2 linked regions of the Schizosaccharomyces pombe genome follow. Changing the gene in region 2 together with the main gene of any one other region gives a genetic interaction. Each region holds a gene or a part of one and is shown on either strand. Other genes may lie near its edges.

Region 1 (4,964 bases), 2.9 Mb from region 2:
GTATTTAACATTAGAATAATAGAGAGTTTATACATACCATCTTCCAAAGAGCCCCATCGATTTGTTTGGTACTGAAGTTCTAAGTTCGTCAAAGCGGCAGCTTTTTCAGAGTTCAAATATCCTTTTAAAATCATGAAAGAAACTATGAAGCTCTTGCAGCAACTAACAGATCTTTCAAAAGCTGCTAGTTGCCAAGAGTTCAGCGAGCTGAGCCAGTTTCTTATGCGTTCGTGTGTTTCCTGCGTTTGTTTATGGGCAATAATACCAGCATCACCATCCAAATAGCTTAATTGCACACCAAGTTTGTTTTCAAAGGTTTCTTTCAGTGGCCACCAATTTTCCTTTTGCTCCTCCAACAATTTCCCTTCATATTCTGTTTCGGGGGAGTAAATTAGAATTGTGTCGGTGTCAAGGAAACGAATTAATTGAGTAGAAAGTAGTTCCTTTTCTTCTTTTTTGAATTGTGATATGTCAATAGCTCTCGAAACTAGGGAAGTAATTGGGAGATTGTGTTGTCGAACAGAGGTTGATGGTAATCGATCCCATTCTAGGGCAATCAAGTGTGCTAGTAACTCCATTTCTTTAGGTACCTTAACAATCTTCCCAGAAGGTGATTTTAAATTTCGTCCATCTAATTGAATCAAGACTTCTCCATTTTGGATTTTGGTAGCTGTATTCTTCCAAAATCTCCTGAATGATGGTTGCGGCAAAGGAGAGGAAGCTTTTGTAGAGTAAAACGAATAGCACGTTTTAAATGACAGCAAGTTTTTGCTGGATAATCTGTAAAATTGTAAAGATCGAAGCATCTTACAAAAATAGAAAAAAAAGGGTATTCAAGGTGTCTATCTGAGACACTAAAAAATCTTTCGTACTTCAAACTGCCAAAATTTAATTTTTAATTATTGTTTAAGAGTTAATTATTATGATATACGTTTTTAGTTGGTGTTCTCCAAAATATTGGTTACTATGTAAGATGAGTCTAACAATATTTTGTCACAGGCATGATGAGAATAAGTTTTAATATTTTTTTCTAAAAGTAGTTTTTAATTAAGCAAGAAAAAACTCTTTTAAAATAAATTAATAGACGTTCCTATCATAGTTCCTAAACCGTTGTTTACGTTAGCCGCCTTGAATTTAGCTACGATTAAGACTACTTTTTGACAAACCGTAAATGTAAATTGATAAATTACAATTAGATACTCGGAAAATTAGAAGGAACCTTAAAAAAAATCAATTAACATGTGCTGTTAAAAACTTAAAGTTGAAGAATAGATACAAACAAAATAAAACCTTTCTATAAATGCTACGGTATTATTCTACATAACAAACTACATTTACTAATCGAATAATAAAAATTAGAACAGGATATTGACTATCAACTCGCGTTATGAAAATCCATCAAAAACTCATTAAATATTATTACAATAAAAACCTTGCGCTGGTACAAAAGAACATGTACATTTTTAATAGCTTAGCTATAAAAAATGCAAGTAATTAAAAAATTTAGCCATTTATAGACGTTATACCAAAACCTTTTTCTTCTCCATTTTCCTTTTTGCATATTTTGGAGGCTGAAAATTCGGTATATTGGAAGTGGCCAGCTTCTCAGAAACCAAATCTATAGGTTTGGGTAATTCTTTTTCAACCGTTGTTTCTGCATTCAATCTTCTTATAATTTCACCATCCTGAGACGAAAACAACGATTTAGCTTCACGATCAATTTCTTCTTCCTCAAATTTCCGCTTTTTGGACTCCTCTTCTTCAATTGATCCATATGCATCTTCCTTTAAGAGAGCGATTGCATCATCAATGTTAACTCGAGACCTTCGAGCGCTCTTTTCACGTAGTTCGTCGAGTGCATCACTAATTTGCATTTGTCGTTTAGTGTCTAATGTTTTTTGTTCTAATTTTTCCATTTCGTCCTCCTCAGGAATGTCATTGCGTTCAGCTAACTCATTTTCTTCATATTCTTGTAATCTTTTTTCATGCCACGGCTCATAATTCCTGGAAGCTCCACTCTCTGCTGCATAATCTGCATGTTTTGGATCGGTTATAAATGTTATTTCAGCAGCACACCTAGTGCAGCGAATATAAAACCTCAATATATCAATTGAAAAATATTTTTCGCCGGTTTTCTCCTTCCTAGCGTTAAACTTTTTTCCTTTATATATATACTCTCCACAAGTATGACAGCGCATTGAAAATGGAGTCATCAAACGAACAGTCAATTTCCCACCATTTGGTCCTTGAAACTTTTTCTTTTTCTTAGGAGGACGAATGGAAGGATCATAATCGGGCGGGATATACTTGTTAAGTACCTTTCGTTCAGACATTGTTGGAAACTATGAAAAAAAAATGAAATGAACGTACGAGAATTGCTTTACCAAATTCAAAAAAAAAGAATAAATTAAAGTAAGGAAAATTTAACCGTCCTTTTGGGTTGGAATTATTTGACTTTACAGATGAATTTGAAAATGCTAGTTTTATGTGGATATGCGCTTTTTGTAAGCGAATGGCAAAAGTACTAGTACTATCTGTAGTTCTTTGACACTCGATACGTCGCGGTAATAAATTGAATGCGCACATAGCACTACGTAAACATATTTAGTACCATCCTTATATTTCCTTATACAATACCTGAGCTGAGCTATCGAGACGTGAGCAAGCGTTGTTTGTCAATCTTACACCTTCCGGTGTTTTAAGAGTACTTTAGATTCCCTTATAAATTGTGTATTATTTAAATGCTTCTGATTAATTTTGACTGATCAGTCTCCATAGTACTTTACGCTTACAGCAATAGACAATTAATGGGGTTGTTGGCATTAATGGCAGGAATAGATGATTTATATGAACTTGGTTAAAAATCGCTGTATTTCAGCTTATGTTCGTCTTAGTAAAGTTGATAGCAATGATCATAAGAAAACACCTGCTATATTAATTTATCATATGTTCATTTAAGTAAAGCTTGTGGAAGAACCCAAGTTTAAAATGGTTTAAAAGATAACTGTATAGTAATTACACAATTGTCATTTTTCGTTAGTTTAATAACTAAAGCTTTGTGAAAAGAAAGACTGACTTATATGTACGTATGTAAATCATTAAAACGAGAAGAAAATAGCTAACGATGTCCGCAACTGAAAAGAATGAAAGCTGACCCGGGATATTCTGAACAAATCTTTTTTAGCAGACAATATCGAAATGGGATTGCCTCCATATCGAGATAAAGTGTTCAACTGGAGAGAGTATATGTGGAAATGGTACCACCAATTTAATGAAAATTCAACTAGATAATGAAGCACCGATTGTTCAAAGTACTATTCTTACAACAACGAACAATTTGATTGAATTGACTTCTTTTAAAATAATACTCCAATTAAAAACAAACAAATTAAGCCGACATTAGCGATATAGAAGTCGGTATACGTTTGTTCATTAGTCTGAGTTGGAAATAACATAACTCAAACAACACCAACGAGTGATATGCTTGGCTATCAAAGTAAAGAATCTAAATGAGTGAAAACTTGAAGAACAGCAGCGACTACCTCAATGAAAAGTAGTTGCTCTTCCTTCACAGAGGAAAGTTCTTCGGAAATTAGCTCAGGCAAGTTAGCGCCAACTGACGAAGAAGCATGAAGATCAAAAGGCCATTGCGAAAAGTCACAGAGAAGCTCGTCTACGCGAGAAAATGCTTTTTCACGATCTTCATAGTTTAAATTGTCAAGAGCGTTTTCAAGAACATTAGCAGCGTATGAGGAACAAGCAAGGGCAACAGTGCGAAGGCAACGAAAAGACAAATATTCTGGGAAAGAAGGTGAATTATCAATTTCAATTACTCGTGAAGTAAGAACAGAGACCACTCTTTTTTTAATGGAATCTTTAATGGAGGTATCGGCAATGGGATGAGTTGGCATGTCGAAAAGTAAGAAATTCTTCTTCTCATTTCTTAAAATCCCTTTGTCAACAAGGCCCTTTGCCAACCGTTCGCGTACTTGTCTTAATTGATATCCAATCTTCATCACATTCCACGTTTCACCACTCATCAAATCAATCCAAGAGGTTACAGACATGAGTTCGCTAGTATGTATCATTTTAATAGCTTCGTCTAAAAGAACCTCACCTGTAAGTTTTTCATCAACCAACTCCACTACACGATCCGCTAACGGAAAGCGTTTACGATTAACGTCTTTTTGCATACGCAACTTTCCACGAAATGCGAGCTCCATTAGAATACATCCCCGAAGAGAATAAGAAATGCTGTCATTCCAAAAAGAAAGATAACCTTGCTTGTCTTTTAGACCCAATAACAATACCTCCTCCATCAGTGTAAGCCTGGGTTGCTTTTCCCTTTCCGCGCCTTGTTCCAAATCCTTTGGATCAAAAGCGATTTTATGATCATCATCGTATCCCTCAAGATGACTTTTGGAATGAGAGACGCTCCTCATCTCTGGACGTTCTTCGTCCGAACTTGCGGCAGCAACCCTCCTTCGGGAAAGTCCACCTGACATTTCTTTGAATTTTATGCCTAAATACAAGAAATTTCTTGTTGTCTATATCAAATAATCAAGAAGATGAGAGAGATATGCAAAACGTTGAAAGCAAAAGTATGCAATACAGGAGTTTCGCTAAAGAAAGAAACGTTCAAACAAATGGGAAAACTTTTGATTAAAAATACCTTTTGCTTTTGTTTCCTCAGAACCTTGACGGCCAATTAATCCAACTTTTCGTTGGGATGCAAATTATTATAAATTGGTAGGTTGAACCAGAAGTACCCAACTAAATACCGAATTTTTTGAAGATACTGGGAATATTTCCACCAAAGAACTTTGGAAGACAACAAAGAATTAATAAATACTTGATATTTGAGGATTGTATGTTCGCGCAGTTCTGCCCGTAAGTGGTAGCAGAATTACGGTGGCTTAACAGATGCTCCCGTAACCTACAGCTTATAAATTGATCCTTAGCAT
Region 2 (5,759 bases):
ATAGTGAGAAATACGTCGTTAACCCAATGCAGAGATTAAGACCAATGTCTTACGCTAAAGCACACATTATTTTGGTTGGGTTTGCGATAGACTCTCCTGATTCACTTGAAAATGTTTCTACGAAGGTTCGTTTCATTAATTGTTTTTTCCAGTCATTAACATTATATAGTGGATTGAGGAAATTAATACACTTTGCCCAAATGTTCCGTTTATTTTAGTGGGCATGAAAGCCGACTTAAGGTCAGATCCCGTTGCTATTGAAGAAATGCGACGTCGAAATCAAAATTTTGTAAAATCACAACAGGTATATATTAATAATTCAAACACGTGAATACTAATTCTTGATATCAGGCTGAATTAGTAGCTCAGCGGATTGGTGCGAGAAAGTATATGGAATGTTCTTCATTGACTGGTGACGGCGTGGACGATGTATTTGAAGCTGCTACTAGGGCAGCACTAACAGTTCGGGATTCGGAAAATGACAAGAGTTCTACAAAATGCTGCATCATTTCATAATTACTAATATCCTAACGATTGCAAACATTCATGTTTCAGTTTATAGGAAAGCCTATCAGTTTATGCGACCTACATTTACAAAAAGCTGATAGACTTTTTTGCTTTTCTTCGCATTTGTTCTTTGCCGTTGTTTCATTTCGTTTTCACTTTCACTTCTGTCGTTTACTTTTTTCTTTTTCTCCCCTATACCTCAAATTTAGTTCCTATTTTATTTTGAGACTCAGGAGTATTATTATTATTTTCATCATTATAATCTTCACGCATCGGTCGAACGACACTAGCCTCCTTTTTCATTTCATTAAGCAAACCGCATTCAGTTATTATTACCTTTTTTTTTTACTCTTAAACATCTTTCATTCTTTTTCAGCATCTATTGTCCTCATGAAAACTACTTTTTGTTTAAAAGATCATAGGACTTTATTTTTAGAACTGCCGCTTGCGCTCATTATGAAGTACAAAATTCATATATGTACATATGCTTTTGTTCTCTTAGGCTAATAGAAAATGTCAGTTTTCCTTATTGATACATTTAATACGTAGGCTCACTTCGCTAAGTAATTTTATGGGGCGGTCAAATTCAAAATTCTGGCTCATTTAAGCTAAATATTAAGACACCGCCAAAGGTATACAACCATATCAAAATTTATCACCTACTAAAGTTTCGAGCCTATTTTTTTCTGGGCATTAATGGGTTGGAAATCAAGACTGGCAAGAGTTAAAGTGGTCACTCTCATCAAACAACTATGTGAAATTATATACCCTTTAAACACCCATACTCCAACAACTAACTTTTCTTCGGGCGTTCACTTCATTAAGAACAACAACCAAAAAAAAACAACCAAAATCCATCCAAATGATAAAGAATGACAAATACGCGGCAAAAATCCGGAACTACACTAAAAATTACACATTCCTTTCATTCTTGATCGTAAGAAAGGAAATCGCCAATAAAGAGAGATAAATTCATACTCAAATACATCACAGACAAAGGATATTAAGACCACAGACATATGACAGGAAAATCTAGTAAGCAGACACTAAAAAATAGTTTACCAAAGGAAAAATTTCTATGTTTACCATTCAGCAGCGACCTGTCCTTCAGCGCTACCGTTACCTACATCAGAATGGTTTTGCAAAGGCTGTTGTTCTTCCGAAGCAGCAGGTTTGTCATATGATTCAGTGGGAGCAGATGACTCCATTGATGCTTCAGGAGCAGCTGAATAGGATTTGGAACCTTCATAGGCAGGGGAGCGATTCTCTTCTCTATCACGTCTAGGAGAAGGACTACGGCTATAAGCGTCACGTCGATACTCATCATCATGGGAAGGGCGTCCATCATCACGAGAACGACGGTATTCGTCTCGTCCAGGGCGATATTCATCACCTCTAGGACGACGATACTCATCATCATGAGGACGACGATAATCACTTCTGGAATTACGTCTATACTCATCGCGACCACCACGACGGTATTCATCACGATTATTACGCCTGTATTCACCACGAGGAGCATAACGACGTTCATCATCTCTGCCGGGACGATAAGCGTCACGACGGTAATCGCCTCCTCTACGATAATCATCACGATAACGACGGCGAGCAGGTGGAGAACGTGAACGGAAGCGGGAGGGTACTTCGGGAAGGGGCTCATTAGCGGCATCCTGCTAATCGTTAGAAAATTTACGCAAGGATCTTTAAAAAAGATTAGATGCTTACAGGGTCTTCGCGTAAAGTAACTGCTTGGCCTTTAATGACTTCACCATTAAGGCTCGTCAAAGCGTTTCTCATATCCTCTTCAGTAGAAAATTCAACAACACTGCATTAAAGTTAGGTGAAAAAATGATCAAAGTAGAAACTTACCCAGCACCAGGGTTTTCACGGTGAGCATCTGTGAAAGTGGGTTCACCAGCTTTACGCATTACATCCTTCAGGTCCTATGAAAAGTGTTAACACTGAAATATAGATATATGAAAAAAATCATGCATTGACGCAAAGGTCATTAAATGTATAAAATTGTCTTACCTGCCAACTGACATCTTCTGAGAGATTTTCCACAATCAAACGGAAACCGGTGCGACGGGGACGGGGGTATCTGATACGTTAGTATAAAAATATTGCCGTAATTTTTATAGGACAATGCGATTTTGCAAGCGATAACACCGTATATAGTCACTACTCAGAGCTGATTCACATGTGAAGTGAACAAAATCGTTAGAACCAGCAATCGCGTGCAATGCCAAATCGCCCACTAATCACATATTAATGGAAACGTAACAACGTACTTAGAAGCAGCACTTTCTCTAAAGTTCTCTCTTCTTCTTCTTTCACCGCGAGCAGGTTCTACAACAATACTTCGAACATTAGCATATTTTAATCTAAATTCATAATGTATTGACTTACCGGCTGCCCATAAACTCTTTGCCCTCTTTTTTATAAGATTAGTAAATAAAGTCGAATATTAAACCTTTGAAGCATACGAAAGTCTAAACTGTTAGCAAAAGTTTTAAGATGGTATGAACGTACCATTTACGATATCACGAGCATCGCGAGCGTCTTCAACCTACATCAAGTTAGTCACATAGGGATTACAAAAAGAAGGCTAATGGTTTTATTTACCTCAACAAAGCCAAATCCATTCATCAGCTTGCAATCAAGGATTTGACCGTAACCTTTAAAAAAATCCATCATATCCTCGCGAGTCGCTAAATTTTTGTTAAAATACTATTTACATTATTTAGTTACAAACCTTGAGGAGGAATACGGCCAACAAACAATCTAGTCTCCGACATTTTTTTTTGGTGTAGTTGGTTCTTGCTGGGTGAAGTTCGACCCTCAGTCGGCAGTCTTGAGGCTGAAGGCCGGCGAAACCCAAGTTACAAAATATAAGATAATGAAATAAAATATAAAATCAAATTAAAAGAGATGGTGTTAATCAAACCTTGTCTAACGATTTTATGCATTCATCGGTCCACACTTTTTCCTAATATTGTATAAATGAAATCTGAGTAACTATCAACCATACTTCAGAGTGTCTATTGAAATGATTAAGAAGGTTAGATAATAATTAATTAATGGATCAAGATGGCGATGATAATTTCATCGACGGGATACTGTAAGTTTAATTAATCATGATTAAGGAGCTAGGATATCTAGTAGTCAAGATGCAACTTCAAGAAGTAACTGTTGTCTTTACAGTCATGTACGTAGGTTCTTATACGTATAATTTTCTTTTTCTATATTAATTATAAATAACTATAAAGTATTTTAGTAAACTTCAATGAATAATCCGAATTTGAGATAATGAAAACAAGTTTCTGCTCATTCACCAGTTCTCTATCTGGATGAAAAACTTTACGAAAATTTTGGAATTCTGAAAAGACTCTTGCCAGATGACACGCAATGTTTGCATTCGCCGACGCATAATGATTAACCCAATTAACTTCAAATGTTATTTAAAAATTCGTAAATCCAAAACATAAAAGCCGACAAGTTCAAAAAAATAGATAGAAAAAAAAACACATAATCAACATGTACTGAATTACTCCCATGAACAGTGCCATTGAAGAACTTCGTTTGGATGAAAAGGAACCAAATCATTGGCAACACTTTCAGGTACGCGAAACGACTCCTTTTTTAAGACGATATTAGACTCTTTGAAGTCTAAAGGAATACAATAAAATTTCCTACCAAAAATACATGCAAAATCCTTCAAAGCATCTAAACGACCCTCTTTATCAAACACTTCAGCTAAGTACGAAGCAGCGAAAGGTTGGGTAAAAACACCAGCTGCCGGTGGCGTCTTCAGTTTAGAAGACCTAGGATGAGGTGCAGAATCACTCCCAAAGAAAAACTTGGGATTTTTACTGGTAGCAGCTTCAATAAGAGCACGTCGGTCTCGTTCGGTTTTGGCTACCGGCTTGCAGAAACAATAAGGATCATCCTGCCAATCTTTTTGTGTGAGATAAAGATGATGGGCAGTTATAGTACCCGCAACACTTTCACCGCATGCTTTTACTGCCTCAACAGCGTCGGCAGTGGTGCAATGTTCAAGCACAATCTTGAGTTTTGGAAATCTTTGGTGAAGGTCTAGTAAAGTAGGAAGAAACTTGGGCTCAGCCGTAAAAACGGTGTTATCCTTAGAGGGGGGAACTTCTCCGTGAATGTTCAGAATCATACCTGTTTCTTGCATTGCAGCAAAGGTAGGATAAAAGGGTTCGTAGCTTTCAACACCACTTTCAGAATTGGTAGTAGCTCCTTTCGGATATGATTTAACTCCTCGAATTCCCTTTTTTGCAGCTTCGTAAATAACCTCAGGTGTAGTTTCCGGTGAGAGATAAAGACTCATTAAATAGGTGGTCTTGGAGTCAAGCTGCTCAATTTCTTTTTTATATTGCAAACAGGCATCAACGGTAGTAATTGGGGGGATTAAATTAGGCTGTTATACGCGTTAAAAAGTTAAACCTTTGTAACCTTCAAATAAATTTTTTGAATAGCACAATACTTATTACATACCATTACATACGCAACAGAGACTCCACCCTCTGCGACCGTTGGAACTACAGCTTTTAACATATTATCTTGCCTTAGATGAACATGCATATCAGCCAAACCAGGTATTTTCAAACTCATCTTGTATAGGTAGTGGGTATTGTCAAGTTGAGTAACTAGAAAGGTGCACTTTATACTTAGTGCTAAATTAAACCAAGAATAAACAATCTTAACAATTGGTAAAAAAATACTACTTAAAATTAGTATGTTTCTTTCAATATAAATTAGTGAGGGTAATATAATTACTTCAAAAAAATTTACTATACCGATAATTCTCCAACTAATTTCAAAGATTTAATTGATCGGAGTTAAACCAAATATTATTTCTTAATTCTTTTTATTAAAGTTCAGATGCCTAATTCTAAACATAAGAATTCACCAACAGCTTAATTATTAGACCACCGTCCTGACTCTTCGGAAGCATAGAGCTACTTGCTTAATCATTGAAGCTCCATTATTAGATCTACCTTAGTATAAAAGAAATCCGAAACGTGTAACTACTAGCATTTCCTGTTTATGTGTAAATATACAGGTACATAATATGAAGAATTATGGTCATCAGTACAAAGCAGTTTAAATTTAACTTAGTAATATCTTGGCATCTGAAGAATATACAACTCAATGAATAGCAGCATCTCAAAAGTGTGCATTCTAAACGTCTTTAAGATTTATACATTTCTAATTTCAATAGACAG

What was found. Genes that interact genetically often act in the same process or in processes that back each other up.
Region 1: of srp2 (region 2) and cwf16, changing one suppresses a phenotype caused by changing the other (phenotypic suppression), as found in Schizosaccharomyces pombe (one study listed by BioGRID).

What each region holds. Positions count from the first base shown.
Region 1 is NC_003424.3:1,487,250-1,492,213, forward strand, and holds cwf16 (splicing factor), read right to left. Parts: upstream 2,507-4,964; 5' UTR 2,334-2,506; coding exon 1,521-2,333; 3' UTR 1,361-1,520; downstream 1-1,360. Other genes in the region: F1-ATPase chaperone Atp12, read right to left, coding at 38-806; gpp74 (golgi phosphoprotein 3), read right to left, coding at 3,492-4,505.
Region 2 is NC_003424.3:4,423,661-4,429,419, forward strand, and holds srp2 (guard protein for 5'-capping of pre-mRNAs Srp2/Npl3), read right to left. Parts: upstream 3,333-5,759; 5' UTR 3,306-3,332; coding exon 3,263-3,305; exon of another isoform or gene 3,219-3,262; coding exon 3,133-3,218; exon of another isoform or gene 3,077-3,132; coding exon 3,040-3,076; exon of another isoform or gene 3,000-3,039; coding exon 2,994-2,999; exon of another isoform or gene 2,942-2,993; coding exon 2,917-2,941; exon of another isoform or gene 2,868-2,916; coding exon 2,799-2,867; exon of another isoform or gene 2,609-2,798; coding exon 2,539-2,608; exon of another isoform or gene 2,451-2,538; coding exon 2,377-2,450; exon of another isoform or gene 2,333-2,376; coding exon 2,233-2,332; exon of another isoform or gene 2,178-2,232; coding exon 1,590-2,177; 3' UTR 988-1,589; downstream 1-987. Other genes in the region: Rho family GTPase Rho2, read left to right, coding at 33-125, 170-304, 352-516; dihydroorotase Ura2, read right to left, coding at 4,055-4,951, 5,029-5,145. UniProt on the Schizosaccharomyces pombe protein: Has a role in pre-mRNA splicing where it is involved in spliceosome assembly.